Alligator mississippiensis: one gene and its partner. The protein of the gene in region 2 purifies or fractionates together with the protein of the main gene of each other region. This does not show direct contact. Links are inferred from orthologs where the notes say so. Each region holds a gene or a part of one and is shown on either strand. Other genes may lie near its edges. The genes, in order: RIC8A and GNAI3.

Region 1 (16,056 bases), on a different chromosome or scaffold from region 2:
AAGAACCCTTTCCAGTGTTTCATCACTCAAGCAGATTTTTTTTCCTAATATCCGACCTAAATCATCTTTGCTGCAAATTAAGCAAAAATTGATGCAGAAATTGATCACTATCTCTCTTATGCAGAAATTGATCACCATCACTTTTACAACAACCTTCTAAGTACCGGAATACCATTACCCTGTAAGTACTTTTTCCCTTTGATATATTCCCATTTCCAGGTCTCTGGTCAGATCTGCTATGGTACTCAAAGCAAAAATAAATAAATTAAAAAAAAAAAAAAAATCAAGAAATTCTATTTCGTTCTTTCAAGTTCACATATCCATAAAGTGCACAACAAGCCATTCATCTGTGTTTATTTTTAAACCTTGTCAGGCTCGGACACTGGGATGGATCCTTAGTTGTGCTGAGAAAGGGGTTGACTGGTAGATTTCCATCTCATGCCCTGCCCCTGGAGACCGCAGAGGACTGCTTTGGTATGCAACACAAAGCTAGCACAGCGCCAGAGCTGCTTATGGGGCTGTTCCATCAGTCTAAAATTTCAGACAGACTTCCCTCTCCCCCCCAAGTTTTGTTGGACCAGGAGCAGATGATGGCTTAGAGTCATCCCTGCTGGTCAAAGACTCCATTCAAAGACTACAAAGTACAAAATGGATGAAGAAATGGCCAAGAATCTGGACTCACATCTTTCACTGGTCTGTAAAGGACCATGAGCCGGGGTGGAATGGCAGAGCAAAAATGATATCCCACCACAGCTACCAAAGCACAAATTCAAGCTTTACTGAAGGCTGCCCTCAGTTGACCCAGCTGTAACTAGATATCTGGTTATTCAGGCTGTGGAGTCAAAGGCATCAGAACAGGATACTAGACACGTCACTCCCTTGTTTGGCACTGACTATTGCAATGAGAATACTGTAGGGCTCAGAATGAGCCTTTCACTTACAAAAGGGCCACATAAAGTTACAGTGATGCATAAATAACAAGTAATATTCCTTGGATATTATCCTTAGATTTGCTCCTTTTGCTTGTGATACTCATATGTATATAGATTTAGTTTTCAAACTCTGGGCAAGTCATTTTAGCCGGCTACTGATATGTGACACATTCCTAGCTACAGCTCTTTAGCCAGCTAACTTATTTTTTAAAACTATAACAAACTAGCCATGAAGTAGTTATTCATGATAATCCAGCTATGTTGTCCAACCTATCTGTGCCCAGTTATGGCCCAAATCTATATATTTTTCATACAGTTAGTGCTCACTATCTACTCTTTCAGTCCAGCCTGTCACTAATCTGTCTAGGGTCCTCCTAAGCATATCTGACAGTATGTCAGTTATTCACCACATGTTCTTTAAACAACTGATCAGCATATGCAAATACATTCTCACTGCATAGCAGCTTGCAGTGTATATTTACTGCCTTATTTTGTGACAACGATCATTTTAATTGCACAGCTACAATCAGCATGAACCAAATAACTCACTCTCACTTTCATAATGAGCTTTGGGTGGAAAGCATAAAAAGAAATGTTTTCATCTTCTCTTTAGCACATTTCACATAGTCACTCAAATATATAGACCCAAATTCCAAGGTCCTCAATTCAGATTTTGCTTAGCCATTTTTCAGAGACCTTCTGAAATCAGTGGCAGCATTATCTGAGTCAGGAATGACTGAAAATGGAGGAGGGATCACAGGATTCACCCCACTACTCACTGCAGTAGATAGATGATAGGAATCATGCACCTGCATCCAAAGCACAACATTTCTAATCTGATCCTTTTTTTCAAAAGAATGAAACAATTTCCACATCTCAAGAAGAGGCATCTTCAAAAGGATGACCTAGAAATCTGTATCTACTCTATTCACCGAACACTTAGGTCCCAGGACTTACTATCCTAGATTACTAACACAGGTGTGGGTTGCAGTAACACCTGCACAGGTAATTGAAAACAAACCACAGTGCCAAACTGTGGCTGCACTACCTGTAAGTGTCCAAGGGGTAAAGGATACAATGAGCCTTCCCTCAGTCCCCACCACTGTTGCCCTACTACATCAGACCAGTGATCCATTTACTCAGGCAGCCTGCTTCCAACAGTGGTCCACTGCAGAAGCTTCCAAGGATGATGTATAATTGTCCATTTTACATTCATGCCCATGGTGGGGGTTTTCTTCCCAAGCCCAGGCAGTTAGTAAATTGATTTATGCTCCAAAGGATGAGGATTTCAAGTTTTCAATGTGGATTTCAATATTTTAGCCTACCTAATAAAACTCATTATCATGCATGCAAATGTCTAATCCTTTTTTAATTCTACTCAGCCACCTTGTCTCAATGCTATCTTATGGCAATGAGTTCCACGGGTTCATTATGCATACTTCCTTCTAAAATGTTTCAAATGTGTTCTCCTTTAAAATGTATGAATCAATGAGCCAAGAAATTAAGTCCAAACATAACTATTACAATAATTTACTCTCCCCTTCTGCATAAAAAGGCCATAAATTATTATCCTTTGTACTTCCTTCCATCATTTTTGACCAATGCTGTTTCATCAAAGCTTTTTTGAGCTGCTCATAAATACTGCATAGGGATTCCCCTTCCCCACCACCTGATGACAGTTCATTTAGAACATATTATCAAGGTCTAAATAGTTCAACTTGTTCTTTCCAACATACATATTCTTGTACCAGACTACAATGAAATTTTTGGCTTCCATATTACTTTATTGCCTAGCTTTAAGTCTGATCCTGTGCTCAGTGAAGTTGATGATAGTCTTTCTACGGATTTCAAAGAGCTTTGGAGCATGCGTTTTGGTAGGTCCTTCAAGAAGTCCTGATGATCTTTGGCAGTCTTGACTTCCTCAAATGATTTTGTGTCATCTACAAATTATGCCTTCTCCAGATACTTTGAAAAATATGAAACTCCAACAGTGCTGTTATGGATTCCTCGGGTATCTTAACATTAAGTTCCTTCCATGTTAAAAATGCCTGTTTGTTACCTGAAAATAATAGGTCTGGAGCATGTTTCTCACCATCAATTGCTATGGTAAAGACCAATAGAAAGAAATTGTTTCACTGTTCTGCAATATCTTATCCTCACCAATCATTCCATTTTCTCCCTAATATTCTAACAGGTTTCTTATGGTTGACATACCTACCAAGAATGTCTTGGTGGCTTTTTTTATATATTTCTATCTGCTCTTCAAATTTCCACTTTGTTCTCCTACTTTCCTTCATGTTTTGTCTGCCAGGGTTTCTGCTATTGCTGCTGTTAAGTCATTCTTTAAGAGGACCTACTGTTTCCTAGGTGAGATTTCTACCCATGTAGAACTGCTTGACTGGAACAGATGTGGTACCCACATTTTTCCCTGGAAAATGACACTTTTGCAATAATATTTGCAGCTTTCTCTGCTCATTTTCCACCTACTTAGGAGTGGTGCAGAATGAGTCATGTATTTCTGCAGGGCCAAATGTCTCTCTGGTGTAACTTCCTTGAAGCAAGTTTCACTGCACTTGTATAGATTATCCATCCCAGCACAACTATACATGGTTTTTTTTAAGAAGGTGACAGTATACTCATGAAATATTTTGAACTGTTTTTAGCCCAGCAGTGGAAATCTCTCATTCCTAAGTTTGCTCCTTTTGCATCCTATTTTCAATTTGTCCTATGATCACCTTTCAGAACATGCATATTTGGAAAATCCCCATGGGGTTTTTGCTCATTAATTGAAAGCCATAACCACTCAACTTCATCCATCACTCCTCCTCAGGCCTTCAAACCTTCCTTCATTATTCAGCTCCCACACTGACACTCAGTTTTCTAGCATGGACCCTAGATGTGAAAATCCCTTACAGAGGCTTTGCTTCCAGTACACAAGGAAAGCAGGAAAGAGATGTTTACTAGATGCTCATTATTAAACCTTACTTGCAAGATCTGCAGGAAAGAAAAAGGAAAGATCAAGCAGACAAGCAATACAGACAAATGCAAGTAGATGAGGCAGATAGAAGCTGGATAACACAGAGCTGAGAGTGTATGCACCTCTGATTTAGTCTATAAGGTACAGATCTACCCTGCCTTGTGCCTGACAGAGATCCCAGAACATGGATCCTCTTACCAACCTGCTTATAAATAGGGAAAGGCAACATCAAGCAGCAGCTTGCCATACTCACTCACCTCCTGATTGTAGATCTGCAGCACCTTGAGGACTGTGTCTTGCTCCCTGCTTTCCACAGTCGCTACCATAGTCCTGAGCTCCATTGCTCCAGCAGCTTAGATACAGATGTGAGGCGAGATGGGGAGGGGCTTTGCTATGTTGCTGGATAATTACAGATGCAGGGGGACCCTGCCACACAGACAGCTGGGGGGGAGAAAAAAACAAGTGCGATTGCTTACTCTGTTATACCTAAAAAGCAAAGCAGATGAACATCCCCAGTAAAACCAGCCACAAGCTTCCTCTTTCTCTCCCTCTCCCCCTCCCTTTAATCCTCTTCCTTCTCTCTGCCTTTCAGTGTTTAATATATGCCCTCCCACTAAATCACTTAGGAAACCTCCCTCACCCCCAGCCTGAGGATTAACACAGAACAGATAACTGCAGCTCCCTGAAATAGCCCTCCTTCTCCTCCTCCACCACCGACTGTCCTGATTTCTCATAGTGCACAGAGGAAATCACCCCCCCCCCCAACACACACAGACACACAGAAACATCCCTGGGGAATAACAGGGGCTCACAAGAGAGCAACATAGACAGACAAGCTCCATCCCGACTGGGTTAAGGTGGAGCAGTCTTTTAAAGGTGGCATGAAAGAGTTCCTCAGCAGTTTCTTCAAAAAGAAACCCAGCCTGGTGCATTTGGGGCCTGCAAAGGGCTATGTAATTAGGGAAGTTGGAGGACATGCTGAACAGACTACACAAGTGTGTGTCTTCATGATACAGGAGGAAATAGGTTTACACCATCTCAAAAGCCAAGTGATCTGTTATAAACCACTAGACACACATTTATGTTTAAAGGCTAGGCATGAGTTTAAAGTGTCTATAAAGCACCACATAGGCTTACAGTGCTGAAACTGTGACTTTAAATAATAATAAGGGGTCACATCATAAATCACAGTATGATTCCACACACTTGTGAAAGCACAAAGATTTAAGATTCTATAGCTGTGTGACAAATTTTGCAATAGTACTGAAGACGGGTAGTGTAAAATGACACAAAGCCCCAATCCTAGACTCCAAAGGGAGCTGCTTACTACAGAATCAAACATCTACATCTATATCTACACTGCCACAGAAAGTCATGACTGACTGCAACATGCACAGAAATACCCAGACTGGCTTTGATCTAGATAGCATAGGTACTGACAGCAGCAATGTTGCAAGAGCGCAAGTGTCATTTTGGTCCATATAAACCCACCCAGAGCCTTGGGTAATCAGTGGTTGACACCTGTGCCAGTGACTTCACTGCTCTCATTCTCCAAGCTAGCTAGATTAAAACCAACTCAAATGTGTCTACATTGCCACAACGCGCAATGTAGACACGGGTTAAGACACCACAAAGCAGCGGTTCTCAAACTTTTTTTTTCGCAGACCACTTGAAAATTGCTGAGGGTCTCAGCGGACCACTTAATCTCCATCGTCAGAAAAAATAAATCAAATGCAGGGCCAACTACAGATATTTTTGATTGTTCTGCAACCTATCTGTGGACCACCTGAATGGAGCTTGCAGACCAGTGGTGGTCCGCAGACGACAGTTTGAGAACCTCTGCCATATGGTTTGTGCCATCGCTACAAAGTTATCACAGTTAAAGTCAGAGTGTCAGTTTAATGCACACTGAGTATGTCTACACGTCCATTAATGCACTTTTCCTGACGCACATTAAATTTGGTACCTTGAATTTGAGATCCTAAATAAATGAGCATTAGGCTACCCTAATATGGAGTAGTGAAAGTGCATGCTTTTTTAGCGAAGCTTAAAGCACACTAGCCTATTTTTACAACGCATTCGCATATTAGCATGGTTTTTATGAGATGCTTTAATACGCAGTAAAATAGGCTACTACACATTAAAGTGCACCTATAGATGCGCCCACTCTGACATCTCATTGCTCCATATAGAATTATTTGGGAAGAAAAACAGGAATACAACGTCCACATATGCACACAATGAACTAAGAGAGATTTCATAGCGGCATAGACATTAAAGATGGAACAGACAGCTCCTTCCTTTAGGACCAGTGCAGGATTTATCCCTAACACAGTACTCTCCAGCATGTTGCCCAGTCCAGCATCACATAACAATGCAGGAGATGGACTATAATAACCACTGACCTCAATCTTTGCAATTTTTATTCTGCTTGTTTAAGGTCCCCTCCTCCTCTTTATTGCCATTCTTTCCTCAGGGTTCAAACCCCTAAGAAAACAGACCTATTTGTCACCTTTAGTCCCCTAAGAAAACAGGAGGAGGCTTGGTTTCCTGCTCCTCCTTTTGACCAGCATCCTACTGAGATTCACTCATGTGCTTAGCTTTACATCTGGGAGCAATCCCATTAAGAGGAACTGAAAATACTCCTGGTGGCAAAGCTCCTCTGCGGAAGCCTTTGTGGGATCACAGCATTAGTGAATAATTATAGAGATGTGGCTTTCTATTTTCCTGTGAAGCAAGTCCTTGCTGATCGCTTGAAAAAAGGGACAAAATGGAGACGATTTCAGGCAAGCAGGGACCCTGCAGAGAGAATCTACATGGAAGTGTGGCAGAGGCTGCAACAAACTGCTGGATTTTAAGGCCACCTCTGCTGGGATTTTAAGGGGCCAAGGGGACAGAGATGTCTGACTGCCATGAGCCATCCGAGGGAGAAAAGATGAGCGAGTTACCTTCTCTTTAGCTGCGCTGGCTCAGGTTTCCTGCTTCATTTCCTGGACACTGCTGCTGCCCCTAGCCCTCCCCAGCTCTCAGCCAGAGGAGGCAGGGAGGGGTGGCTGGAAGCTGGGTGGAGACCCAGGCAAAGGGAAGAGCTGCTTTACCTGGAGGCTTGGGGTTGTGGGACAGGGCAGAGATCACCCACCAGCCTGCCAACCATACAAGCAATCAGGAGCCTTGTCAGGGGTTGAGGCTGTTTCCCGCCCCGCACTATGAGCAAGAGGAATATAAAAAAAACATGAGCACTGTGCAAAATGCAAGGGGCGGATCCTGCTGCCTGCCAGGGGAGGGCTGGTCTCAGTGGTGGCAGATGACAGGACAAGGAGCAATGTGCTCAAGTTGCAGCAAGGGAAGTTCAGGTTTGATATTAGGAAAAGCTTTCTCCTGAGGAGGATAATAAAACACTGGAACAGGTCACCCAGAGAGGTGGCAGACTCTTCATCCTTGGAGGTTTTTAAAACTCAGCTGGACAAAGACTTGCTGGGATGATGTAGTTGGGGCTGGTCCTGGTCTGAGCAGGGGGCTGGACTAGATCAGCATTCCTCAACCCGTGGGTCACAAGAATATATGAAAGGGGCACAAACCAACTTGGAAAATGGATCAAGAAACTTTAAAAATGGATTCTTCCTTATAGGAAAAAAACATGGGAAACCAGGGTTTTTCCCTTGCAGGCTGGCAGAGCTCCAGCCTGCCAGGGGCTGCTTGGGGCCTCCACTGCCTCACACTCTGAGGGGCTAGGGCCTGGGGGCAGCGGGTCCGGAGTGAATCCAGACTGGCCATCAATGTTTACAAATGGGTCCTGGTACAAAAAAAAGTTGAGAACCACTGAACTAAATGACCTCTTGAGGTCCTTTCCAACCCTCATTTTTTAGGAATCCCTACAATAGTGGTTCTCAACCTTGTTTCAGACTCAAGGCACCCTCATGAGACTCAAGGCAACCCTTGGAAAATGCCAGCTTTTCATTATCACTCGTGTTTCTGCTACAGAAAAAAAGAATCAAGCCGTTCTGCTGCTGCAAAGAACGCAGCAAGGCCACAGGCCTGAGATAGGGTCCTAGGATAGCCAGAAGTTTGGGTGTTTACACCCATGATTTTCAACCAAGATGCCATGGCACCCAGGGATGCCTTGAGGTCCTTTCAGGGGTGCCACACAATGTTGTCCCTGTTGAGTGTGCTAATGGGATTCACAAAATAAACCCAGAGATGTCAGGAAAGGAATCCATGGTGTTAAAAGCATTCAGACCTGGAATGGCCTGCATAAGTTCTTTGCAACAGAATTGCTCTACTTTTTTTCTGTAGTCTAAACATGAGTGAAAAATAAGAGCTGGCCTTTCCTGATGGGCTGCCTCCAGCCTGTAAGAACATAAGAATTGCCATTGACTGTATCAGACTATAGGTCCATCTTGGCCGGGGATCCTTTATCACACAGAGGCTCTGGCCAGGGAGACCATCCACATCTCCAGGCAGAGTTTCACTGGGAGGTGTTCACTGGCTCCTTGGACTTGACTGGGGACCAGTGGGCACTGTCCCGTGTGCTCTGCATGATGTCTACCCTTGGTGCATTTGTTTTGAACCTATGACCTTTACTCTGTCCCTGCTTCTTTTGTTTTCTCAAGTAATCAGTTGACACATGTGAACCTAAGGCCCATGTCCCCAATAGGTGTTAAATAGGCCTGTATCACACAGAGACTCTGGCTGGGCAGCCCCTGGGGACTGTGGGGCCACTTTCCTGTCCCTGGTCTGTTCATGTCTCTGGGCAGAGTTTCACTGGGCAGTGTCCACTGCCTCCTTGGACTTGAGGGCCAGTGGGCACTGTCCCGCATACTCTGCTCAGCCTGTCCCCCTTGGTGCACTCGTTTTGAACCTGTGACCTTCACTCCTGTCCTTGTTTTGTATTTTTTTTTGTCCCATGAATTCAGCTGATGCATACCCAATAGCTCCCTCTATTATTAAGGGGAGGTAATTGTTGATCTGTGGGCATAAGGGCCATGTTCCCAACATGTGTCAAATAGGCCTGTCACACAGAGGCTCTGGCTGGGGGCCCCCCGGGGACTGCAGGGCCATTTTCCTGTGCCTGGTCCATTCATGTCTCCAGACAAAGTTTCACTTGGCAGTGTCCACTAGCTCCCTGGACTTATTCAGTGGGCACTGTCCAGTGTACTCTGCTCAGTGTCCCCCTCCTTGGTGTACTCATTTTGAACCTCTGACCTCACTCCCAGTCCTGTTTTGTCTTTAGTTGTCCCCTGAAATCAACTGACATATACCCAATTGCCCCCTCTAATAACAGGGGGCATAGCCTGCAGAACGAGGTGGGCCACCTGGGCCACAGCCTGACCAACTTGTAGCACATCAATTTATATAACCCACAAATGCGCAATTGCCATTCCGGTTAAAACTGTATAGCTATTTTTTTAACTGCATAGCTAGTTAAGTTAACGTGCTAAATGTTGGTCAGGCCATGGCCTGGGTGCCCCACCCTGTTCCGCGGCTTATGCGGGGAGAGTAACTATTGCTTTGTGGTAAAGTGCACGTTAACCCTATGTGTCAAATAGGCCTGTGTCACACAGCGGCAGAAAATGGATACTGAAAGGGAGAGTAAACAAGACAAGACCAGGGTTGGTTTTTATTCACTTTCTTCCATCACTTGCAACCTCTAGCATTTAAGGTCCAGGAACTTTGAATTCAGAGGCTGGACCCTTAACTCCTGTGCTCAATAGATACTGATGCCCTTTTTCCCCAAGAATTTGTCCAGTCCAATAATTCTAATTCCAGTCCCTATGGAGACTGCCTTGAGACTATGGAGGGGTGCCTCAAACCTAAAAAGGTTGAGAAGCACTAGTCTATCCCAACCGCGCACAGATGGCCCGATAAAAGAATCGCCCACAAGAATTCCTGCCTCTCACAGCAGGTGTGATGGCTCTTGCTGCTATGTATTCCTCTTTGAAGTCGCTGGGTCTACCCTGTGCATCGTATTGTGTGGCACGGTTAAAAAGGATCTCGGGTGCCATGGCCCCGCCTGAGAGTCACTGCTATAGAGGGGAGAAAAAAGGAAGTCAAACTGCGGCTGGACAAGCGTGCCCTTTGTGTCTGGCAGTGCTGGAGGGATGCTGCAGCCCTGATGTCCCAGGAAACCTGCCAGAGAGGCGAGGGGCTTTTATGAGTGGTGTCTTAGGAAATGTGGGCTGGAAGGGACCTCAGGAGGTCATCTAGTCCAACCCCTGCTCAAAGCAGGACCATCCCCAACTACATCTTCCCAGCCAAGGCTTTGTCTAGCTGGGTCCTAAAAACGTCCAAGGATGGAGAGGCCACCACCTCTGGAAGACCTGTTTTTTTAAAGAAATGTTTCATGTTCCCAGTCAAATCAAGTCCAAATCCCGGAGTCAGCCCAGAACCATACTGGCCCTACAGCCCGCAAACATCCTCCACCTCACCAGAGGCTGCAGATGTTTCCAAAATCCTTTAGCAGGTGTCCTAGGTGCGGGCCCAAGCGGTTCAGATGCCGCCGACTTTCGCCCCGCCTCAGCCGTGTGGCCGCAGGAGCGAGCTAGAGAGCGGCTGCCGTTTGCATCAAGTGGGCTTGAAGCCCCGACGCCGGGGCGGGCACCAGAAGAGCAGGTTTGCCCGGGAGCGCTTGAGGAACCCTGCCTTCCTGGACGCAGATACACGGCGTTTCCTTGCCAGGCGACCTGCTCCTTTACTGTGCTCCCTTCCTAGCGTGAGCGGGGTTTATTTCCCCCTAACAGCTTAATCTGCCCTTGCTGCAACTGGAGACCCCGGCTGCTGCCGCTCGGAGGGAGGGAGGGAGGAAGCCGGCCGCAGGCCAGTGTCTCCGGCCCCTGTGCCCCGGGCTCTCTCCAGGCGGCGCGGGGGCGGGGCAAGGAGCGGCGGTGGCTCCGCCCGCAGCAGCCGGGGCGGGGCCGGCCACGGAGACGGGCCGCGGCCATGGCGGAGTGGGGGCGCGGTGAGCGGGGCCGCGGGGCGCTCAGCTCGGATCCCTGCCGGGGGCTCGGGCGTGGGTCGTGCGGTTGCATGCTGGGGGTGTCCCTGGGGCTGCCCGTGACTGGGGCGGTGGGGGGGCGCACATGCGGCTGTTTGGTTGGGGGAGGTTTTGCTTTGCCAGCCCCGGCCCGGGGATGGGGGGATGCCTCCTCTTCCTCCGACCCCGTGTGCTGTGTGCCTGCCCTCCCACCGCGCTCACCTGCCTGGCCGGGGCTTGCTTGGGCTGCTGGCAGGTCAGAGGCTGGCGCTAGGTGCCTTTCATGCCTGCCAGTGCTGCCCAGGTGCTAGGAGTACGTCTCTGTTTTTGTATCGCTTGGAGGGGCAGGTATTAGGCGGGAGATGTTTTCAACCTGTCCCTTTGATAACTGGCTCCGTAAGAGCTGCAGGCCCCCTGCCACCCCACCCGTCCTGCAGTGACCCCCATGTCTCGGGGCATACATCTGCAGTGGGTCGGTAGCTGCTGATGCGGGTACCTTGTTACGTCCCCTCCGGCACACTAGCTGACCTGTCTTGTACACACTGTAGATGGTCGTGTGTCAAAGAAGAACAAATATATGTGTGTTTGTATGTGGATACACAGATACACGCACCTGTGTGTGTATGTGTGTGTGTGTATATATATATATATATATATAAAATGTACATGTGTGTCTGCATATCTAGGTATAGGTGTGCATGTGTGTGTATACACACATACACAGATAATATATCTATAAGTAATTGAATCTGAGCGCTCTCAAGCTTTGCACCTGTGTAGCTAAAGCAGGATCAGGGTTTGCATGTATGTTGGGTGTCTCGGATACATATCATACATCTGGGGTAACATTTCAGGGGTAGGAAAAACCGGTTCTTAAAATGGTACTCGGAGTCACCTAACTAACAACAAAGTGGCGGTGGCGCTGCGAACAGAAATCCCAGTTCTCTTACCAGCTGTGATGAGTTTACATGCTGATGTTTGTGTCATAACTGATAAGACTCCTCCTCTCTCTTTCAGGCCAGGGCCAGAACGGCATGGATGACATGTTGGATGTCGAGAACAAACATATGGCAGACAATCTTGCCACCAAAGTCACCAGGCTGAAATCGGTTAGTTACTAACTCCATGTGGTCCATTTTCCTTGCTGTGTTCACTGTGAGAAAGGAGCTGGTTTACACAGGGGTGATTTCTTTATTCCATGGTTTGAGAAGATGCAGGATATGATACAGCCTGTGGTGGGTTGCATAGTTAACTTTTCTAATGATGTAGCTGGGAAATTTTACCAATTTTCTCATCACCAAAATTGTCTGGTCTTAGTGGCAGCTAGAGAAGAAATTTGATATAAAAAGTAAGCGGCAGGGAGGCCAAGGCAGGTAAACATGTCAGACAAGGCGTGCCTTCTGTGGAAGAAAGTAGTTATAAAACCAGGTTAAAAATATTAATAAAAAACACACTTTCAGTTTTCCTTCAGGAGGGAGTCATGATATTTATGGTGATGATAGTCGTGGTGTATCCATGGCTATTAAAGGAGTATTCACAGTAATCATTTGCTTCCACTAATGTCAAAAGCCTCAGTTAACATATGGCTGTAATGCACAGACAACATCATTATCAGAAAACCAGAATCTGTGTTCTGTTACTGCTTCATGATAGGCATGGTCATTTCATGTACAGAAGCTTCCAACTATAGACCTTTATTTCCAATGCTGCAAAGCGCAGGAATTTATATAATCTTAAAATGTAGGCAGAATCTCCCTCCTCCCCCGTCTTCTTTTTTTCATTGCATAGAACAGACATGGCAGTGTGTAATGTGTAGGAGGCAGTGGAAGTAATGGCCTGTTTGTGTGGTTGGGGTTTCACCAGCTTCAGATATATTAGGAGTTGATCTGTTAATTTGAAGATAGTAACACTTGCATCCTTCTGTGTTTTGATTAGCTGGCACTGGATATTGACAAAGATGCTGAAGATCAAAATCACTATCTAGATGGCATGGTAAGACACTGGTGAGATGTCTAACATGTGAATGGTTTTGTGCTGACTTCAAAGAGTTTGCTCTGTAGTTCAGAAGGAAAGGTGATCAAACTCTGGCAGTTGGGTTTAACAACCCAGCACATGTCAGGTAACATGAAAACATTGTTTGGGGTTTTAAGTACATAAGCCAACAGAAACTTAAAAGCTCCCAATATTATGTTGGGCAAATACAGCCAGCATTTAATAACAGTTGACACTGATAGGGAGTAGTATAGTTCAGTAATGCAGGTAGAAATTACTTACTTACTAGGATTACAAACTGGCTCCTATGAAGATAATATAAGCCTGCCTGCCTGCCTTTGTCACTCCTGTTTAGGAGTTTTGGAAGTGTTTATAAATCTCTTGGGGGTACTTCTACAGCCTCTGAAATGCCCTGGATGTATAGAATTGGAATCAGGGTTTGTAGTGTTAATAATATCAAGTACTCTGTTCCTTTTTCTTCTCATTTTTAATTACCACGGGTATTTAAAAAACGGTGATTTTTGAGACAAAATCTGGCATGTTTCGTAAACTCTTTATTGCTGATGGAGAATCCAGGGACTTGGGGAATGGCTTGTGCAGCCAATACATGCATTTGTGGCTGGAAAATCCCCTAGCTTCACACTTGACGTTAGCAAACACAAGCAAACTTTTTTGCCTCAAGATTTCTTCCATTGCTTAATATAATGATTTTCATTCATATGATACAATTTAATTTCAAAGCATTTTATGTACTTAAAGTAATAAGCAAGCTATTTGGCCACAAGACCAGGTCTGTAGCTTAAAATGTGCCCACCAAGAATTTCTAGACTAAGAATAACTTCATGATTCAATTTGGCATTGGAATCCCTTCCTTTGATATGTTTGAGTTTGGGATTGATGTGGTCAAGCTGTTTCTGTGAGTGATTGGGAAGTGGTTGTCTGCAGGTTGGAATCTGGGTAGCTAGGGCATGTAACCCCTATAGAAGATAACCACAATATTGAAAGCAAGGCAAGATAAACCTATTCAGGCTTCAGCAGAGCTGGCATGCAGGCAGTGATGTCACGGGCAGTGTGTGGAAGGTCTAATGTATACTTGTTTTCACTGGAAATGGAGGAGAGTGGAAGGTTAGGGTGAAGGAAGAGACCATGATTACAGCAGAAAAGTTAAATGAGGGGTCTTAAATCAAGACGGTATACCCATTTTTTTTACTTCCCTTCAAGAGATGGACTTCAGATAAATATCTTGGAGTAAACCTAAGCTTAAGCTAGAAACTGTGAGATTAACATTGTCTCTTACACTCTCTGACTTCCTTAATGTTCTTGAATGATGTATTCATCTGACTGTCATTTAAAAAATACAGCAAATGATAAAGGTAGAAATCAGATAACTGAGCAAGGGGAAGAAAAGAGCACAGCCAACAGGAGGGTATTTGATGCAGAAGTAAGACCATTATCAAAGGTGCAAAGCTACTGGGTAAATAGAAGGACCTATGAAGATGCCTGCATAACTGGGGAGGTGGTACAGGAGGAAGGAGTGATACGAGCTTTTCATTGAACTCAAAATTGGGGGGGGGACCAGCTGTCATCAGAAAGGAAAGGGTTATTAACAATTGGAAGAAAGTAAATTCTTTGTTTGTAGCCATGCTCAGACTGCATATTTCAGATATAGTTCTGGGAGAGGTTTGAGAAAGTAGCCTTCCTGTCAAGCACTTTAAGAAAGGGGTAGGTTGGAGGTCATCAGAAACTAATTAGAGTGAACAGCAGCCATTTTTTTTAAAGGTTTTGAGTAGGAAAATGTGATTTGTGATAATGGTGGTGCTGTGAGAAGATAGGAAAGGAAAGAGGATGGGGAAGAATTTGTAGAGCAGGGTATTTTAGTGCCTTGACACAACATTGAGCAACATTATTACCTATTCTGCAAACAACACTACAGGAAGGAATTTCATTTTTTCTAATCTCAAAGGCTTGTTTACACATGCTATCTGTGACTGATTCCATGTGGGGGCACTCTTATTCTGGAGTAAATTTGCATGGAATTAATCAGTGATAACTGGCTTTGACAGGCAGAGCAGTTGCATGCAGCACTAACGCATGTTTTTGAGGTATGTTGTATGATGTGATGGGGGAAAAAGGGAAAAATAAAGTTTTTCTGAGGGCATTTGACATTATTTTGGTTAGGGTGCAATTAAAACCTTTAAACTTACATTAACATAGGGTGGGGGTTACACTGTGGGTCGTGTGTTACATTTATAATCCTGCCCTTCAGACATCCTTAACATGATGCTTTTCCCTGGAGTTTGAGAGAGAGTAGCCAAACCTGTTTTGTCAAAAAACTGCATTCTTGTATTTTGGTTTTTTTCTTAATCTAGACTTAGAATTTCTGTTACTATCTGTTTCTCATGGCAGCTAATGACTGAAATAAGGAGTGCATTCCAGGGGAACCTTGACTTGTGTTATAACTTTTCCATTTCACCTTTTCTGCCCCTCAGGACTCAGATTTCATGAGTGTAACTGGCCTGCTGACTGGGACTGGGAAGCGTTTTTCCAGCATGACGCGATCAGGGAGGGATAATCGCAAACTACTCTGTTATGTTTCTGCTGGACTGATTGTCGTCTTCTTCATCCTCTACTATCTGGTGTCGAAAGCACGGACTTGAGTGAGGTCCTTGTAGTGGAATTTTTATGGAATGGAAAGCTGTGACAATGTTAGACTTATTCAAAGTCACCCTCAGTTTATCCTGCTGAGAGATTTCTGGAGGATCAGATAACAAGTTGGAGTCCAAAGAAACTGTTGTTGTGGGTGGTCTTGGACATCTGGGTCATATAATTTTTTTTTCTTAATATAAGGTGAATGGTTCATTCTAACCTTTTTTAAATTTATGTATGACATAATTTGATCTTGTTGATAGTCAGCTGTCATCTATCGTCTTGCTATCTATACCCTTCAGAACCTCTTCTATTGATTTGTCCATGGCCTCAGTGTTAACTTCACTGTCATCCCATGCTGTTAATATGAAGGTTTGTGATCAAAGTAAATCCATAACCATAAAGTGGGCAATTGGCCTGTGCTCAGTTCACTTATAAAAGCAGAGCATGTTACAAAGCTGAATGTGAGCTTGGGAAGCAGACACTCCTGGATTTTAAGCCAAATCTTTTTTCTGACTCACATTTTGGTATGGGGATGC
Region 2 (16,248 bases):
TGCTGCTAATTTCAGTTCTGAAATAGCAAAAGCAGTCATGCTTATTAATGAAGCAGGACAGCGCAGAAATGTCCCCACCATCCTTATGAACTGCAGCATAACAAGTTGCTGCATACATGAATAAACAAGTACCCAACACATGGATTTTCACAATCATTTACTTTTATGTTCTATATGTACTTTTGATCTAAAAATGTTTCTACATTAACAGGGTTTGGCAGGTGATTACCCAAAAAATTAAAATAAGCAACCACCAAATGAAAGGGACTGACTTCGGTACACATTTCTCTCACTGGAACAGAGAGCCTGTTTTGATGCTCTTCCTCAAAGAGAATGAGGATTTGGGCACAAGAGGACTCTGGAAGGGTGGAGATAGAATACAGATTCTCAGACAGATCACTCTATGAGAAGGAAAAAAAAATGTATCTGTCCACAGCCTTCAGTCTGAAACAATAGTTCTGCTCAGGGTGGCATACAGCTTGGTAGTATTCTTCAGGACTGGCTAAATCACTGTAGATCCAAAATCCCGAATATAACAAAAGATTGTTTTGAAGGGAAAAAACCCCCACCTTGGTTGGCCGAGTCTTTTTTTTTTTTTTGGGGGGGGGGGTGGGGGGGGGGGGGGGAAGGCAAATAAAAAAGCAGAGGAGGTTACATGGAGACTATTTGCTAGAGATTCACCCAAGTCACTCAATGAAGTTTTGGAGGCAATTCAGACCCATCACCTTCCTGGCTGGTGAAAACCTGGGCAAAAATTAGTCACATGATGAAGCCTGTTTGCATCTCATTTGAAGACCAGGTGCCCTTAAGGAACCACTTCAAGTCTCTCTCAAGAAACCACCACCTCTTGACATTGACAAGGCAATCCATTATCAACTATTTCAAATCTGCTTTTGAGGAAGTGTTCATCAGATATGGCTGACACAAGATAACTCTTGCAATATCAGAATTGCTACCTACCTTTAAGGACCCCTTCCACAAACTGGGTTGAGATTTAGATACAGTTCAAAAAACACACTTCTATGAACCTACTTTGGTGCACTGTAATCTACGCTGACTGCTCATTTGTCGGAAATATGGATTCTGTCCCAGGAAAATCTACATAGAGATGCTGACCCCAGATCAGTTGTCACACCAAAACATCTGCTTTGTGTACACAAAAAAGACAAGACTAGTGGCAGGGTATTTCCCCCACACGTGGTCTTCAACTTTGGAATTTGGTCAGAAACACCAAAACCTTGTTTAAATTTCAGAGCACTAACTGACACTTCTCAGGCTTTGCCAAGAAGCAAAAAATGGCAAGAGGAATCTTTAGAGAGCGTGGCACCATTCCTTCCAATATGCTTGTTTGGTTGATTGGCTATGTGACGTGTCTTAGGATAGACTTACCATTATAATTATTTTCTACAAACTACATTTTTCTATTATGTTCAAGTGCCCATCCAAGTACTAGGGGGTTTTAAGTCAAAACCTGTAATTTCAACAGGTTAATATGCATTTTAAGCACAAATATTGGATGCGCCTGCATGACTCAAGTCCTAAAGATGCCGTTTTTCAACACTAAGTTCCATGGGCAACTGGTGCACACCCCACCCCCAGTTGGGGGGGGCAGCCTAGAGTGGCATGAGGGAGGCAGGGAACAGTCCCCCAGCAGCCAGCCGGCAACCAGAGGAGCCAATTTTTAATTTTTATTTGGGGGGGGGGGGGGGGGAACGGGCACAGGCACAAGCACTCCCCATGCCCCTCTACCAACCAGAGTGCTCACTGTCAGAGCGGGCACCAGCGCTCTCGTGGTCGGGGGGGGGGAACGACTCCCCTATTCATCACTTATGTTGCATACAGAGGAATAACATTGACTGGATTCAACAATGGAACTGCCTTCTACACTAAAGGATGTATTTTTGCCACCAATGATTCAACATGAGCTTTTTTTTTTTTTTTCCTTAAGGCAGCAAGGTATTGCACACTAAACACTTTGAAAATTATTGTGCAATGGACTATAGGGCAGCACAAACTGCCCAGGAAGAAATGCCCCAATTTCTATGCTCTCCCATATCATGCAGCTCATCATAACAGGAAAAACCCAGAGTCAGCTAAATCGCACGTCTGTTCCTGCCAAGCAGAGTTTTCCTGGAGGCAATGGAAACAAACTATAACAAAAGGAGGAGTGTTGTGCAAATCAAGAGCTCTGGAGTTCCTCTCTTGTGCGTAGATTTACCATGGCTTCCTCCCCACCCCCCTACCCGAGTCACATTTGTTGTTGGAAACAGGTCAACAATTTCTATCCTGGTGATGAAGACTGGTCTACCCGATCAGTTAAATTATCTACAAAACTGGTTCAAAAGGACCTGTTAACAAGAGTCTACTATATTACATAATTGCCTTCCATCTTACAAGGGCTTGTATGACCTTGGGCAAACCCCAGACTTCAGCTTATGTAGCTTGACAATGGGTGTAACCATTTCCCAACAGACAATGTTGTGAAACTTAAATATAACTGGTAATGCGAGAGCCTCACATAAAAGGAACCACAGAAATAAACATTATATTGTTTTACACCAGTGATCACAAAATAGTCATGAAATGGCTTGGAGAACATGATAAATTGACCAAGCACCCATACTCCTCTGCTGCTTCTGGGGTGTTCTGAATAAGGGCAAAGATAAAGAAACAGAAAGAAAAGTAGAAACCCAAAGAAGCAGTAAATACTGTACCAGAAACTGGCTGTACAGTGGGGGGGGGGGGGGGGGAGAAGATTGGGGGTTTTTTTCAATACTGGAGTCTTTTTTTTTTTTTTTTTTTTGAAAGGAGGCAGGGAAAGTGAATGCAGCTTACACAGCTGTATCTTGTAGCAATTTAGCTTTGTCATCATGCTGGAAGATTCTGTTAAGGAATTGGTTCTCAGCTTTTTTAGGCTCAAGACACCTCCTTGGAAAATGTCAGCTCTTGGTTTTCTGTAGTCAAATTGAGTGAAAACTAATAGAGCCATTCTGTTGCAAAGAACTCAGAAAGACCTCAACAAGTCCAAATGCTTTTAACACCACAGATTCCTATTTGAAATCTCTAGGTTTCACCTTGCAAATCATGTTTGCATGCCTAACTGAATTAACACTGTTTGGCACCCTGCAGCACCCTGGAAAGGATATTAAGGCACCCTACCTGCTGTAACACCCTGGTTGAGAATCACTGTTAATACTGTGCTTGGGAAGAACAAGTAGACTTTGTGCAAATGCAAGCATGCTCTCCCAAACCACAAAAATTCTGCAGAGAAATACTAAAGGAGGCCAGTGTTTTACCAGAGTCAGAAGGTGAGATGGCTCCCTGTGTTCTGTGTCTCAGCCATCACTTCACAATACATGGAAACTGTGTTCTGAAAATAGACTACAGCTTCTCAAGCTTTTTTTTTTATTCCCCCCCACCCCAAGCAAAATACTTCCCCCCCTCCCAGACTTCACTGCAACAGTTTATATAAATAGCCTCAAAGATCTCTTACAGGTAAATTAAATAAAATACTCCCCCTCTCCCCAATCTAGACATTGTACTATTTTTTTAAATGAAAACACTAGGTTTCAAACTATTTAAAATTTACATTTTCCTTCAGCTTTCTGAAATGTTAACCAAATGACTGAGGCCTGAGTACGTACATTTAATCTTAGCAACCGATTGCTTTGCTTTACCCATACATAAACTAGCCCAGATTTTATATACAAAGAACATGTGTTTATAGGATTCCCTTTCGTAACTGGTAATGCTCAAGGCACCACTAAGCTTGCTTCTGAAACCTCAAGGGGGGGGATATAGAAGAACTAGAAGAGGTATAGAGAAGAAAAACAAAGATTATCAGGGGTATGGAAGGGCTTCCATAAGAAGAGAAACTAAATAGGCTAAAACTTTTCAGCTTAGAACAGAGACATTTATTTCAAGGAAGACATGACAAGTCTACAAAACATTAAGTGGTGCAGACATAGTAAATAGGGATTTCGTATTTAATATTCCTGACAATACTAGAACCAGGGGACAGAAAATGAAGTTACTGGGTTGCAGGCTCAAAATTAACAAGAGGAGGCTCTTTTTCACACCGTGAGCAATCAGCCTGTGGAATTCACTGCCAGGAGACATTGCAGAGACTGGTAGCTTACCCCAGATAGAAAGGAGAAACCTCATCCACATTAAGGTGCTACAGAATTAAAGCACAACTATTCCTGAGTAAATCCACATGTGAACACTTAACCCAGAATGAGAGTAACTATATTTGGAGATATTCCAGAGCAGCTATTCATTTTTCCTTTAGAAGTGTCTCTGGAAAGCAGCTATTTAACTGCCATCCAAACCCATGGAAATTCGGTGCCATTTGTGGATCCACCCTGCTACCGACTTAATTGGTTGCGCAGCATTTTCTCTATAATTACACAGGCCCTGCCATGGACTAGGATGACCAGTGAAATATATAGTGCTATCCAAAGCTGTCCTGGGGGGTTGGCAAAACAGGGCAACCGTCCTGGGCAAGTCACATCTGGTGCTATCAACGGTAAACTCCTTTGAGAGAGGCATTTATGGCTGACTGTATTCTACATCCATGGCACACAGGAAAACCTGACATCAGGGATTCTCAAAGTCAGGGTGCCGTGTGATCCTCTGAAGGGTAATGCAAGGGGTGAGGAGAGCAGCAGAGAAGCAGACCCAGGCTGGCTGACCCCCCACCCCCATGGCCCAGGCTCTCTGCAAGGGGGTAAGCACTGTAAACACACAATAGTTTTTAAAATGAGGCACTACTCAATTTACAGGAGTTATGAAAGAGCCCTCGAGTTCAGCGAGGCTGAGAACTACAAGTCAATTTAGACAAACTTGCTACAAACACCGTAACCCCATCAAGCCACCCTCCTCTGCGGGATTTGCAAGTCCCGAGGGAACAAAACCCCTCAGGGGCTGTGAGACTCGCAACCAATTAGCAAGCAGTGTTATCTGCACAAACACGAAGGACCACAGCTCTCAGGGCACCGCTCGCTCACAGCACCGGCTGGCCAAAAACAAGATCAATAGTGCAGGTCCTTCGTAGGAGGACTCTTACCGCCGTCTCTTGAGGAAACCAAGAGTTCAGCAAAGGGATGGATGCAAGGCAGGCTCCTGCCCGTCCCCAACAAAAAATGACAAACTTGAAAAAAAAGCAGCTGATGACAGAAGGGACTCGCGCTAACCCCCTGCTTTCCACGCGGGTCACTGCTGGAAAACCACCTCCCACACCGCTTTTAAATCATCCCCCCAAAAGTAGTGCCTCCGATACATCTCCGGGGGGGGGCCGTGACATGACAGGCGTCACCAGGCTTCCCCCCACAGCTAAACCGCCCCCTCCATCGCCATCCCCCAGCTCCGCGCACAGAACACGTCTCCACCGGGGCAGTTGCCAGCCGGGCTCGCCCGCGTCCTGCCCCCCCCCGTGTCAGCCACTTCTGCTCATGACTCAATTCCTGCCACATCCCCCCCGGCCCTGGCACCAAGTCACCCCAAATCTGGCAGAGAGGGAGGGAGGGAGGGGGGAGCTCCCCTGCTGCCAGATGTCTGGACCTGTGAGGAGCTCGGGGCGGGGGGGGGTCGTGGACCAGCCTGAGGACGGGACAGGACGGGACGGGACGGGACGGGACAGGACGGGCCCGCCGCCATTTCGCGGGTGCCTCACCGAGCAGCAGCAGCTTCACCTCCTTGGCCGCCTTCTCGCCGTCCTCGCGCAGGTTGCGGTCGATCATCTTGCTGCGCTCCACCGCCGCCTTGTCCTCGGCGCTCAGCGTGCAGCCCATGGCGGCGGCGGCGGCGGCGGCGGCTCTGCCTCTCCTCAGCCCGGCGGCCCGAGCTGCTGCGGGCGGGGCGGGGCGGGGCGGGGCGGCCGGATATCCGCTCCGCCGCCGCCTGACGTCAACCGGCGCTGCTGCCGCGGCCTCTGCCCGCGCACCGCATGCTGGGAAAAACACTCGCCCCCACCGCGACCTATCGGGAAATAGAGTCCCGAGCCGTGGCCGCCCACACGCTGCATGCTGGGAAATGGAGGCGTGCGCCCTGCATGTCGGGAAATGGAGTCTTGTGCCAAGCTTTGCCATTCAACGTATGCGCAGGTGGGGACTGGCTCCCTTCTGCCTCCCCCCTGAGCAGGGGGCCCACGTGCTTCTCCCACCCCCCTGCTGGCCCATGGGCACAGTCACACCTTCCCTGCAAGTGGGTGCAGGAAACAATTTCTGGCCCATTCAGGCACCTCCGTCCTGCGGGGTGGGGTGGCCTGGGGAGACTGGACAGGGTTAGAGCCCTGCAGCTTGAGCCAGCAGAAAACCACCCTCCGCCGCAGCCATGAGGGACCCCCGGGGACCAGTGGGCCTGTCCCGCGTACACCTGCAAGAGTGCAGGGCAAGAGGCAGGTCTCTGGCGTGCACAGGCACACCTCATTCGTTCACAACAGCCATGGCACCGACGCAGTCGAACGCCAGGCAGCCTGCCTGCAAATCCTTAGCTTCATCGTGCAAGGGAAGGGTGATAGCTGCTTTGCTGACGCTAAGGCCAGCATGGGCCATACCTTCACCGCAGAGTAAGGCTTGGAGCCTTAAGTGATCCCACAGCATAGGGGTCAGCCTGTAGCACAGGCAACCTGTGTGTGGGGCATGTGGCAGACTGGGAAGCTCAGTGGTAGAGCAGGGAGCAGAGCAGCAGATCAGGGAGTGCAGGGATGGAAGCAGAAAGTGGAGCAGCACACCAAGCAGGGGAAGGACAAGGGATGACACTTGGGAGGGTGTGGGGCTAATTTCTGGCACACCTGCCAAAAAGTTTGCCTCCCCACCTCCCCTGCCGTAGCACGTCACACCAGCACTGCTGACCCCGGCCGCCCTGCTTGCCTAGTCCTTGCTCTTCATGCTTTAGCACTGGTGCGCTAGACCCAGCCTCTCAGCAGCACAGAGCTTGATGGTGCATTAGCTGGGGCCCAGGCCTCATGTTTGTCAGCCTGTCAAACTAATCCAGCTTGCCCAAGTAGAGTGTCCCAGGGGTCGGTCCTGGGGCTGTTTTTGTTCAGTGTCTTCATCAAGGACCTGGAAGATGGCATAGAGTGCACCCTCCGCAAGTTTGCAGATGACACCAAGCTGGCGGGAATAGTAGATATGCTGGGGGATAGGGATAGGATTCGGAGTGACCTAGACCAATTGGAGGCTTGGGCCAAAAGAAATCTCATGAGGTTCAACAAGGACAAGTGCAAAATCCTGCATTTAGGACAGAAAAATCCCATGTACAGCACAGGCTGGGGCTGACTGGCTGGGCAGCAACTCTGCAAAAAAGGACCCGGGGGTTACAGTGGACAATTAGCTGAATATGAGCAAGCAATGTGTCCTTGTTGCCAAGAAGGCCAACAGCATCCTGGGCTGCATTGGTAGGTGTGTTGCCAGCAGGTAAAGGGAAGTGATTATTCACCTGTATTCAGCACTGGTGAGGCCACACCTGTGGACAAGTTGGAGAGAGTGCAGCGAAGGGCAACAAAAATGGCTCGGGAGCTGGGGCACATGACTTATAAGGAGTGGCTGAGGGAACTGGGCTTATTTAGTCTAGGGAAGAGAAGATGAGAGGGGATTTAACTACCTGATTCGAAGGAGGATTCAAAAGAGGATGGAGCTGGACTGTTCTCAATGGCAGCAGATGACAGAACAAGGAGTAATGGCCTCAAGTTGCAGCAAGAGAGGTTTAAATTAGATATCAGGAAGAATTTTATTACTAGGAGGGTAGTAAAACACTGGTACAGGTACCCAGAGAGGTGATGGAAGCTCCATCCTTGGAGGTTTTTAAGACCTGGCTAGACAAAACTTTGTCTGGGATGATCTAGATGGGGCTGATCCTGCCTTTAGCAGGGGGTTGGACTAGATGTGACCTCCTGAGGTCCCTTCCAGCCCTCATTTTCTATGATTCTAGCGCTGGCAGACACCTGCTGTGCAGCACAGAGGGTACAATGTGCGACTGCGTCAGAAGACTCATCTTCTCTTTCCTAGAAGACTGCAGAGGGGTCCAGTACCAGACAGGAACCCTTCCATCTGCAAGAGATTTTTGTCCTGAGTCTGGTGCTAGTAAAAGCCCCAGGCTGACATTGCCAGTGCTAAGAGCCTGAATCCTGTGTGAGATCAGGTACTGCTAGGGTTGTAACATGGCAAGCCTTGTTGCCATGTTGCAACACGGCGGGCCCTTCTCCCCAAGTCCACTGCAGCCCCAACTGGATGAACACTGGTGTTGCTCAGTTTCTGCTGGCTCACACGCAACAGTACTGAGCAAGTAACATGCAGTGGCAACATCACACTCTGTTGTCTTTGGTAACTGGAAGAAAAATGGGCCTGTGGAAAGCAGATCTGTCACCCCTGAGCCCTGGGCTGGGGCCACAAAGTGTTCAGTGCTGAGGTTACCTGCCCTGGGGCCACTCAGTGTCTCCTGTCCTGACTGCGCATCTGGGGAAGAGTCCAAACCAGGGGGAACCAACCTGCAATACACCAAATACACTTTACATGGGACAATGCACTAAGCTACAGCAACTAAGCCACAGCTACAGGTGGAAATGCAGTTAGGAATTCTGCAAGCAAAAGGTCTTCCTTGCCCATTGCAAAATGCCCAAGCCATGCTTTCCTCAAGTATGAACCTTGATGCCCTGACTAACTGCTAGTGTTGTATGCCTTTCCCTAGAGATCTAGGATCTTGTAGCCTACAATGCTTTCAAGCCATCCCTCCCCACGTCCTGGTAGATAACTATGCTCAATTCCACATTAGCAACTGGAATACAGCCCCTTTCTTTTATTCAGAAAGAGGTGGCTGGTTCTGGTGGCTATTCCCAGAACAGCCCCCACACAGGAAATATTGTGGCTGTCACCATCCTTCCCCAATCTGTTCATCAAACAAGAAATGTATTGCCATAAAGAGCCTTCTACCTCCCTCTGCTGCTAAATATTCTCCATGACACCTGGAGCCAGAAGGAAATTCCATGATGGGCTCCTTGGATTCCATAGATTCCTGCTAAACAAGACAAAAGAGAAAGAAATCTGGAGCTATCCCAGCAATGGCTGGACTAGAAGGTGCCTGAAAAGGAGACTACTGGCTAGAGACACCCAAGCTTGGCCAGGGTGAGTAAGTTCTCCCATTGCTGGGATCAATACAGAGGCTTCGAGCAGCAAGGAAGATTTACAATGAGATGGAAACTCACAGAGAAGAGACCAGGCAAGGAGGTTGTGCTAAATGGATAAGAGCTACAGAGGAGAAGACTTGCACACCAGCAATCCTGGTGGGGCACTGAAAAGATCTTGAAGCCCAAAAGGGCCATGCAACACTTGTAAAGAGGGAAGAGCTGTATGCTGACACCCCCACCACTGCTTTGGTCAGCTTATTTAGGAGGCAGGGGAGGGATGTGTGCATCCGGGTGCATTTACAGCATTTCCAGATGCTTTCCTCCAGCCCTGATTGTTTTAATCAGGATGGAGCTCATCAGAAGCAGAGTCTTTCCTAGGAATGATGCCAGGCATGAAAACCCTCATCCCCAAACCCTTTACAAACACTTCCACATCAATTCAGCCACCAGTATGATGCAGTCACTTCTGCAGAGAAGAACTGGTGAGCTGCCCAATGATTAAGGACAGCTGCATCTGTATCCAACTGAAACTGCAAGGTAGGGGAACAGGGAGGGGTAAGTAAACTGCTGGTACTTGACCAGGTGAAATGTAAGCAGGACCCCAGGGACATTGGTTCAGTTCTGAGTCAGAGAAACAGGATCACCTCCAGGTCTGACTTATCCTAGCAGTCTCCCATGCTGCTACTGAGTCCACAGCACCTGTTAGCTGATGCCACCAGAGCTCAAGACATGAGCTGTGCTTGCTACACCCTTCTAGGAAGGCAGTCCCCACACACTGGGCATGGTGGGGAGAGTGCAGGACAACAGAAAGGCCAGGACATGGGAGAGGGAAAAGGAACAGCAACATTGCTTAGAAGCTGAAACGGCAAATGTAGGAACACTTCATGCCTGAAGTGAAATGAAGGGCACTTCATGCCCCCTTATCTAACATCTCTCCCAGCTCTATGCCTGGCCCCAAGAAAGAAATCACCAAAAAAAGCCCTTGCTCCTGCAACGTTCCTGGCACTGCTGTGCTCGTAGTGCCACCTGCCGACTGTGCCCTGGAACTGCAGGTAGAAAAGATGCTCAATCAGGGTGCCAGGGCACCCTGGGGTGCCACCAGATCCTTTGAAGGGTGCCACAGGGTGTGGAGAGATAAGCAGACATCCGTGGGCTCAAGCTTGTCCCTGCCTGGCTTCTCTCTCATCATCACTGCCCAGCCCATCTGCAAGGAGGTCAGCATGGTAGTTTTTTTTAGTTAGTTCAAAAGTTTTTTAGTTAGTTCAAAAGTTAGTTTTGAAATGAGGTGCTATTCAACTCACCAAAGTTATGGGGAGAGCCTCGAGTCCAGTGAGAGGTGCCAACATGGTTGAGAACCACTGATATTGAGTTTAAAAGCAGAGGTCTCCCCCCTTGGAAATCAGCCCCTGCTCTCTTGCTCATGGGACAAGGATATCACTAGGACACAAACAGGAAAGAGTGAACAGTAGTCTCTAACTAGAGAAGGGCCTGTTGGCTAGGAGTGCATTTTCAGGTAGGTGCTAGGGGAAGATGTCAGCCTGCATAGACAGAGCAGGGGAACAGCCCCTTGGGAAAAGAGGACCAGAGCCAGGACAAGCTAGGACAGACTGGCACAGTTTGGATGGGAGGGGAGTTCTGGGTGGCTCAGGGGATGACCAGTGAGCTGTGCAGCTGGCTCATATCCAGACTGGGCTGGCAATGACAATCTGACAATAGTAGGCTATTTGAAATGCACAGGTTGGACACCGTGGCTGCGCCTACACGAGACGCTTACTGCGCAGTAGCTCATTAGTACTGTACAGGAGCGTCGCAGGGCATGAACTGTGATGCGATGCTACTGTGACACGATGCTACTGTGCAGTCAGGATCGCCGTGAAGCCATGTGGGGATGCTACTGCACAGTAATGCTGGTTACTGCACAGTCATTCAGTACTCAGGTATGCAAGTACTAAATGACTGCGCAGTAACCATCTCATGTAGATGCAGCCAGTTTGCTCCAGTTGCCATCTGCTGGCAATCTCAGCTCAGAGAGGTCATCACCAGCTGAACTCCCCTCTCACACAAGGAGGAGGCCCTTACCAGAGAAGTGGAGTGGAATGAAAAGGGACTTCCAGAGCCCTAGCAGTGGTTCCCCAATCCAGCATGATGTTGACAAGACCCTCCCACAGCCACGGGGAAGGAGGAAGAAGGACCAAAGAAACCCTGCGGTCCTGAAAGGAGTGGCTCCTTCCTGGTTCCAGGCCACTGTCCTTCACAGCATCTCCCTTGAGATGGGTCCCTGTTACCCAGGTGAGGATGACTCACCACTCAGATGGCACAACACACGCTCTTTCCCCAGCTCTCGTGATCGACGGCAGCCCACACCCAGGGGATGAAGGAAGTGGTCTTCAGAGAAGGCTATTTTTGGAGTCCCTCCTCACAAAGGGATGAGTGATCATCAAGCAAGCACACACCCAGGGGGCTTAAACGGTTCCAGTGTCTGTGAGCGTGAAAGGTCAGCGCAGATGGATCTGCCAGGGATGTGAGGGGGAAGCAGAGGGGGAGAAAAGGCCATGCAGCAGGGACTGGGAGCCGGTCTGTGATCACAAGCACAGATGCGTGCAGTCATGGGCTGGTGCACACGCAGTCCAAGGCCAGACCTCGTGCTGTGTGGGGACAGGGGTAGATCCAGTGGGGCTGTGTAGACCCCCACACCCACCTGTGTGTGAGGGACCACTGCGGGGGGCACGGAGAGTGCAGGAAGGGGGAACCCACCCACCACTGCTGTCCCTAGCACCCTGTGCATATGCTCCCTGCAGGACCAGCCCTTGGGCTCCCTCCATTCCCAGATCATCTGAGGATAGTGGCAGCAGTGGATGGATCCCCCCTTGTGCTTGCTCCCTGCCTGCTGAGCTGCTTGTGGGCTGTCCCCAAGGGTGTATGAGTTGTCACACGGCATCCAAAACTCCTGAGGAAGAGGCACTATCTTTTATTAGACCAACTAGATAGCTGCAAAATAATATGCACTATCTGCACAGATCCAAGGCCTGTTTCTTATGGGACCTCAAAGCACTTTGTGTTTGTTAGCACCTGCATTGTTGAATTACACACTGCTGTGGTGTGGGGGTTGAATTACACATTGCTTGGGCAACATACTTAAATACAACTGTCCCCATTTTATGGAGGCGAAGAGGGGACAGGCCATGCCTGGGGCACAAAGTGAATTGGTAGCAGAGTTTGGGAGTAGAATCAAGGAGTTCTGACCCCTTCACACACCCCTGCTGTAACCACTGGACCAGTGTTTCTCAGCTTTTTAGACTCAAGGCACTCCTTGTTAGGCTCAGAGCAGCCCGGGGAAAATGCCGGTTCTTAGTCTTCACTCAGTTTTTGACTATGGAAAAATAATGTGGCAATTTTTCTATTGCAAAGAACTGAGAAAGGGCACAGCAGGTCGGAAGGTTTTTAACGCTGTGGATTCTCATTTGAAATCAGTGGGTTTATCTTGTGCGTCACGTTTACACACCTACTAGGGCTAACATTGAATGACACCCCATGGCTCCCTTGAAAAGCTCTCAAGGCACCCAGGTTGAGAATCGCTGCACTAGACCACAATGCCTTCCTTCATGGTTCACTTCTATTCTTGTCACTGGCTTCTTCCACTGGCCTTCTGACACCAAACTTCTCTGCACTTTCTTCTGCCCTCGATCATTTCAGCTTGTCTATATGGGAGAAACCTGAGAGCCTGGAATAAAATGTGCTGTTACTGTCTCCCACTCCAGAGAGGGTACAAGTCAGAGCACAGTGCCTTATGCTAGCCCTTTGCCTTGCAGGCGCTGCTGGTTGAGTCAGGACACTTGAGTGAGTGCTATACTCCAAAGCTTTGCCACTGACTTGTTGTATGACCTTAGCCAAGTCACTCCTCTTTCTGTGCCTTTAGTCTTCCTGCTGTCATGAGGTAGGGAAGGGGGGTGTTTCTAGCATTTCCTTGCTTTTATGATGCCCTTTGAGATCTATGGATAAAAATCAAAGATCCGCCAAACCCAATCAGCCCTTTGGGCTAGTGTGGCTGAGGCATAACCATCTCCATAGACAATGGTACACAGGGGAGCACCGTGGCCAGCAGCACCCCCAGCTACCTTAAACCTGCCAGTCTGAATGACCGAGTGTTCATTTACCTTTGGAATGAATCCAGCGTGCAACTCAAAGACCTGCTTCTGGAGTCCAAGCACGATGCCCCGACTATCTGCCACCACAATGTAGCATGCTTCATCCCTCAAAGTTTAGGCCACTAGTTCTGGGAACCTAAGCCAAAGTGACGTGCCCATTGAGAGGCTCTGTGGCAGGGCTGGAGTGGAGCCCAACTCTCCAGACCTGGACCCTGAAGCCCATGCTGCACCTGCTGGACAGTGCTCCTTCCAAAGATCTGCAGAGAAAAATGCTGCAAGGTAACATGGGGAGCAGATACACTGGATTCTCCTAATGCCAGATCTACCAGGTGACTCCTAGCCCCATCTTCAAACCAGCCTGACCAGCAGCCCCATCAAGGCTGGCCAGGATTCTTGTCCAGCCTATTCAGGGGTTTATGATCAGATGCCCAACCCCTGTCCGGTCCCTCACAGACAGGGAGGCACATTTCATAATAAATAGTTTTATTTGTTGCTCCAGGATGAAACCGTCCGACATAAAAATGTCCTCACATCCTACCCCTCAGGAAGCAGTGATGGAGGTCAGACAGGGCTGCTGGGGCATGTCCCAGCCAGCCAACTCAGGACCCAGGGTCGGAGTGCAGAGGGGGCTGTGCAGCCTGAGGCTCACAGCCAGACTCAGCCCTGACAGGCTCTGAAGGCAGGACCCCCAGGATTAAGATTAGTGCATCATCAAATCCCAAAGGAGGGCTGGTCTCTTCTCCCTGTGATTCCCTGCCCTCCTGCCCAGCAGAGAAGGGGGCACTGGCCACAAGAGGCCGCTCCCTAGCTCTGCTGCAATCAGTGGTGGTTTGTAAGGCCATTGATTCCAGCAGGCTGAGGACTGCCGGCTGATCCCTGTTGCAGAGCTCTTTGCCCGCTGGCTGAGATGAATGCCAGAAGGGAAAGCAGAGGAGAATCCAAACCAGCGTGGTCCCCCTCCCCACCACCCAATATCCCAACTACTCAGGTCCTGCTAGACCCCAACTACTGCTGTCTCACTAGGGTCTGTCCAGCAGGCCAGGACCACAACCATTTATTCCAGCATGGGGCCTGGTTGGAAAGATGCAGCTGGACCCCTCGTGCCTGTAGTGGCAGCTGTGCAATGGGCAAAAGCGTAGGTTCAGCCCAGCTCTAATCCGACCTCGCTATGAGGAGGCATCGGCACTTCCAGAGTCTCCCCCAGCCAGCAGAGTCCACCATGGGCCAGCCAGCAGGGATGCTTTATCCCACAGCCCAGGCTCTGCCTGGGCCCCTCATGCTGCCTGTGCTTCTGGAGTTAGAGACCCCACTGCCATGGGAGGGGAGACAGGAGAGGCAGGTGCTGAGAAGGAAAAGATGATCCAGGTCAATACAAAAACCACCATCATTGTTTTCTGCCCCCCACCTGGAGCCTGGAGAGAGCTTCTGCCTGGGCTCAGAGAGGCATGGGCACCGCCGGCCAGACAGCTGTGACCCCGTGGTCCCTGGGGCTGTGGAACAGGCTGTGTCTGTGCTGGGCCATGTGCTGCTGGGGTCAAAGGGGTGAGACCCTCCAGGCCCACAAAGCAGCACTGATGGAGAAAAGTGTGGCCTGGGCTCAGCACCCAAGTCACTCTCACCTGGGGAAAAGCATCCCCTCAGGCAGGAGCCGGAGTGGGAAGAGACTTGCTCCTGGGCCTTGCCTCCCCCTTGGGGCAGGGGCCATGAACACAAGCAGCACTTTGGAGGAGATGGAGAAAGGCCAGGCCAGGACAGGCTAAGCTGGGTGGGGATTGCTGGAAGACCAAAGGAGAAGGAAGGAAATTGTTCTGGAGCCCATGCCCAGCTCAGGGCGTGCAAGATGGAGAGCAAGGGAGGAGACTGTGCTGGTTCAAAGGAAACCTGTGGGGAACTGGAGGTAAAAGGCCACTTGTTCTACTGCAATCCTGGCTTGCACTGGTTCCTCTCAATGCCCTCTCCCCCTGATGCTCCCAGAGATGGGGGAGGGTTGGTCATGCCTTAGTCAAACACCAGCAAAGGGCATCTCTCCCTTCCTTCAACATGCCCCTTCTCCTCAATGGGGTCCCAGGTTGGGAAAACCATTGGAGCTGCAGGGTTGAGTGCTGGGAAGCCCACTGTCTTCCTTATTTTCCTACTGGGATGGGAAAAGGGCAGAAATCAGAGTAAAAAGGGTCAAGAGGAAATGGAAATGGAGACCAAACCATGTCAAAGCTCTTTTGGAAACTTGCAAGGGACACAGAGGAAGTCTGGGGAGCCTGGGACTCTTTCTGCTTCCAAACCAAGTGAAAAAGGGATTAATCAGAAATGCCACAACACCAATCTAAACTAACCAGAAGGACTCAAACACCAGGCCCTGCTGCTTTCCAGGTTGGGCACTGAGGCAGAAGGATGCAGATTCAGTCACCATGGATGGGTTTGGTATTCACCACCACCACCACCACTGCCGCTGGCAGCTGGCTTCTGCATTGTTCCACACATTCATAGAACGAGATTGTCAAGTGCAAAGTAGTGCTACAGCTCAGGCTTGGGCGAAGGCGCTGTCCTGATGTAGCTGTCAGGGACGGTGATATCACTGTTTAGGTGCTGGTCGAGGAACTCCGAGGTCTCCTCGGCAATCTGTCCAGGGATTCGGAAGTCAATGGTGGGCTGGTCCCTCTTGGGACTGGCGTGAGCATGAATGTTCCTGGTCTCTGCGTTACAGCCTGTCCCCTGAAGGAACTGCAAGAAATTCTCCTCGATGGAGCCCTCTTGGCTGGGCAGCCTGAGGTCATCCTCCGGCGGCTGCTTGAAGAAGCAGGTGAGGTGCCTGCTGAGCTCTCCGCGGATCTGCCGGTTGAGGCACCCATAAAAGAAAGGGTTGGAAGTGAAGCAAAAATAGCCGATCCAGGTGACAACACTCTCCACCTGCTGGCCAGGCAAAGGCTGGGAGCTCAGGGCTGTGTAGAGGTGAAAAGAGAAATAGGGCAACCAGCAGAAAAG

The links.
Region 1: the proteins of GNAI3 (region 2) and RIC8A purify together in Homo sapiens (affinity purification with mass spectrometry; 3 studies listed by BioGRID and IntAct, counting the BioPlex papers as one, with this or other methods). This does not show direct contact. The link is inferred for Alligator mississippiensis from reciprocal best matches to the Homo sapiens genes GNAI3 and RIC8A.

What each region holds. Positions count from the first base shown.
Region 1 is NC_081825.1:179,398,854-179,414,909, reverse strand, and holds the start of RIC8A (synembryn-A), read right to left. Parts: upstream 7,126-16,056; 5' UTR 6,858-7,125; intron 4,634-6,857; exon of another isoform or gene 4,550-4,633; intron 4,351-4,549; 5' UTR 4,251-4,350; coding exon 4,167-4,250; intron 1-4,166. Other genes in the region: BET1L (BET1-like protein), read left to right, coding at 11,045-11,192, 11,897-11,988, 12,815-12,871, 15,361-15,528.
Region 2 is NC_081837.1:34,286,999-34,303,246, reverse strand, and holds the start of GNAI3 (guanine nucleotide-binding protein G(i) subunit alpha-3), read right to left. Parts: upstream 5,881-16,248; 5' UTR 5,793-5,880; coding exon 5,675-5,792; intron 1-5,674. Other genes in the region: GPR61 (G-protein coupled receptor 61), read right to left, coding at 15,781-16,248. UniProt on the Homo sapiens protein: Heterotrimeric guanine nucleotide-binding proteins (G proteins) function as transducers downstream of G protein-coupled receptors (GPCRs) in numerous signaling cascades.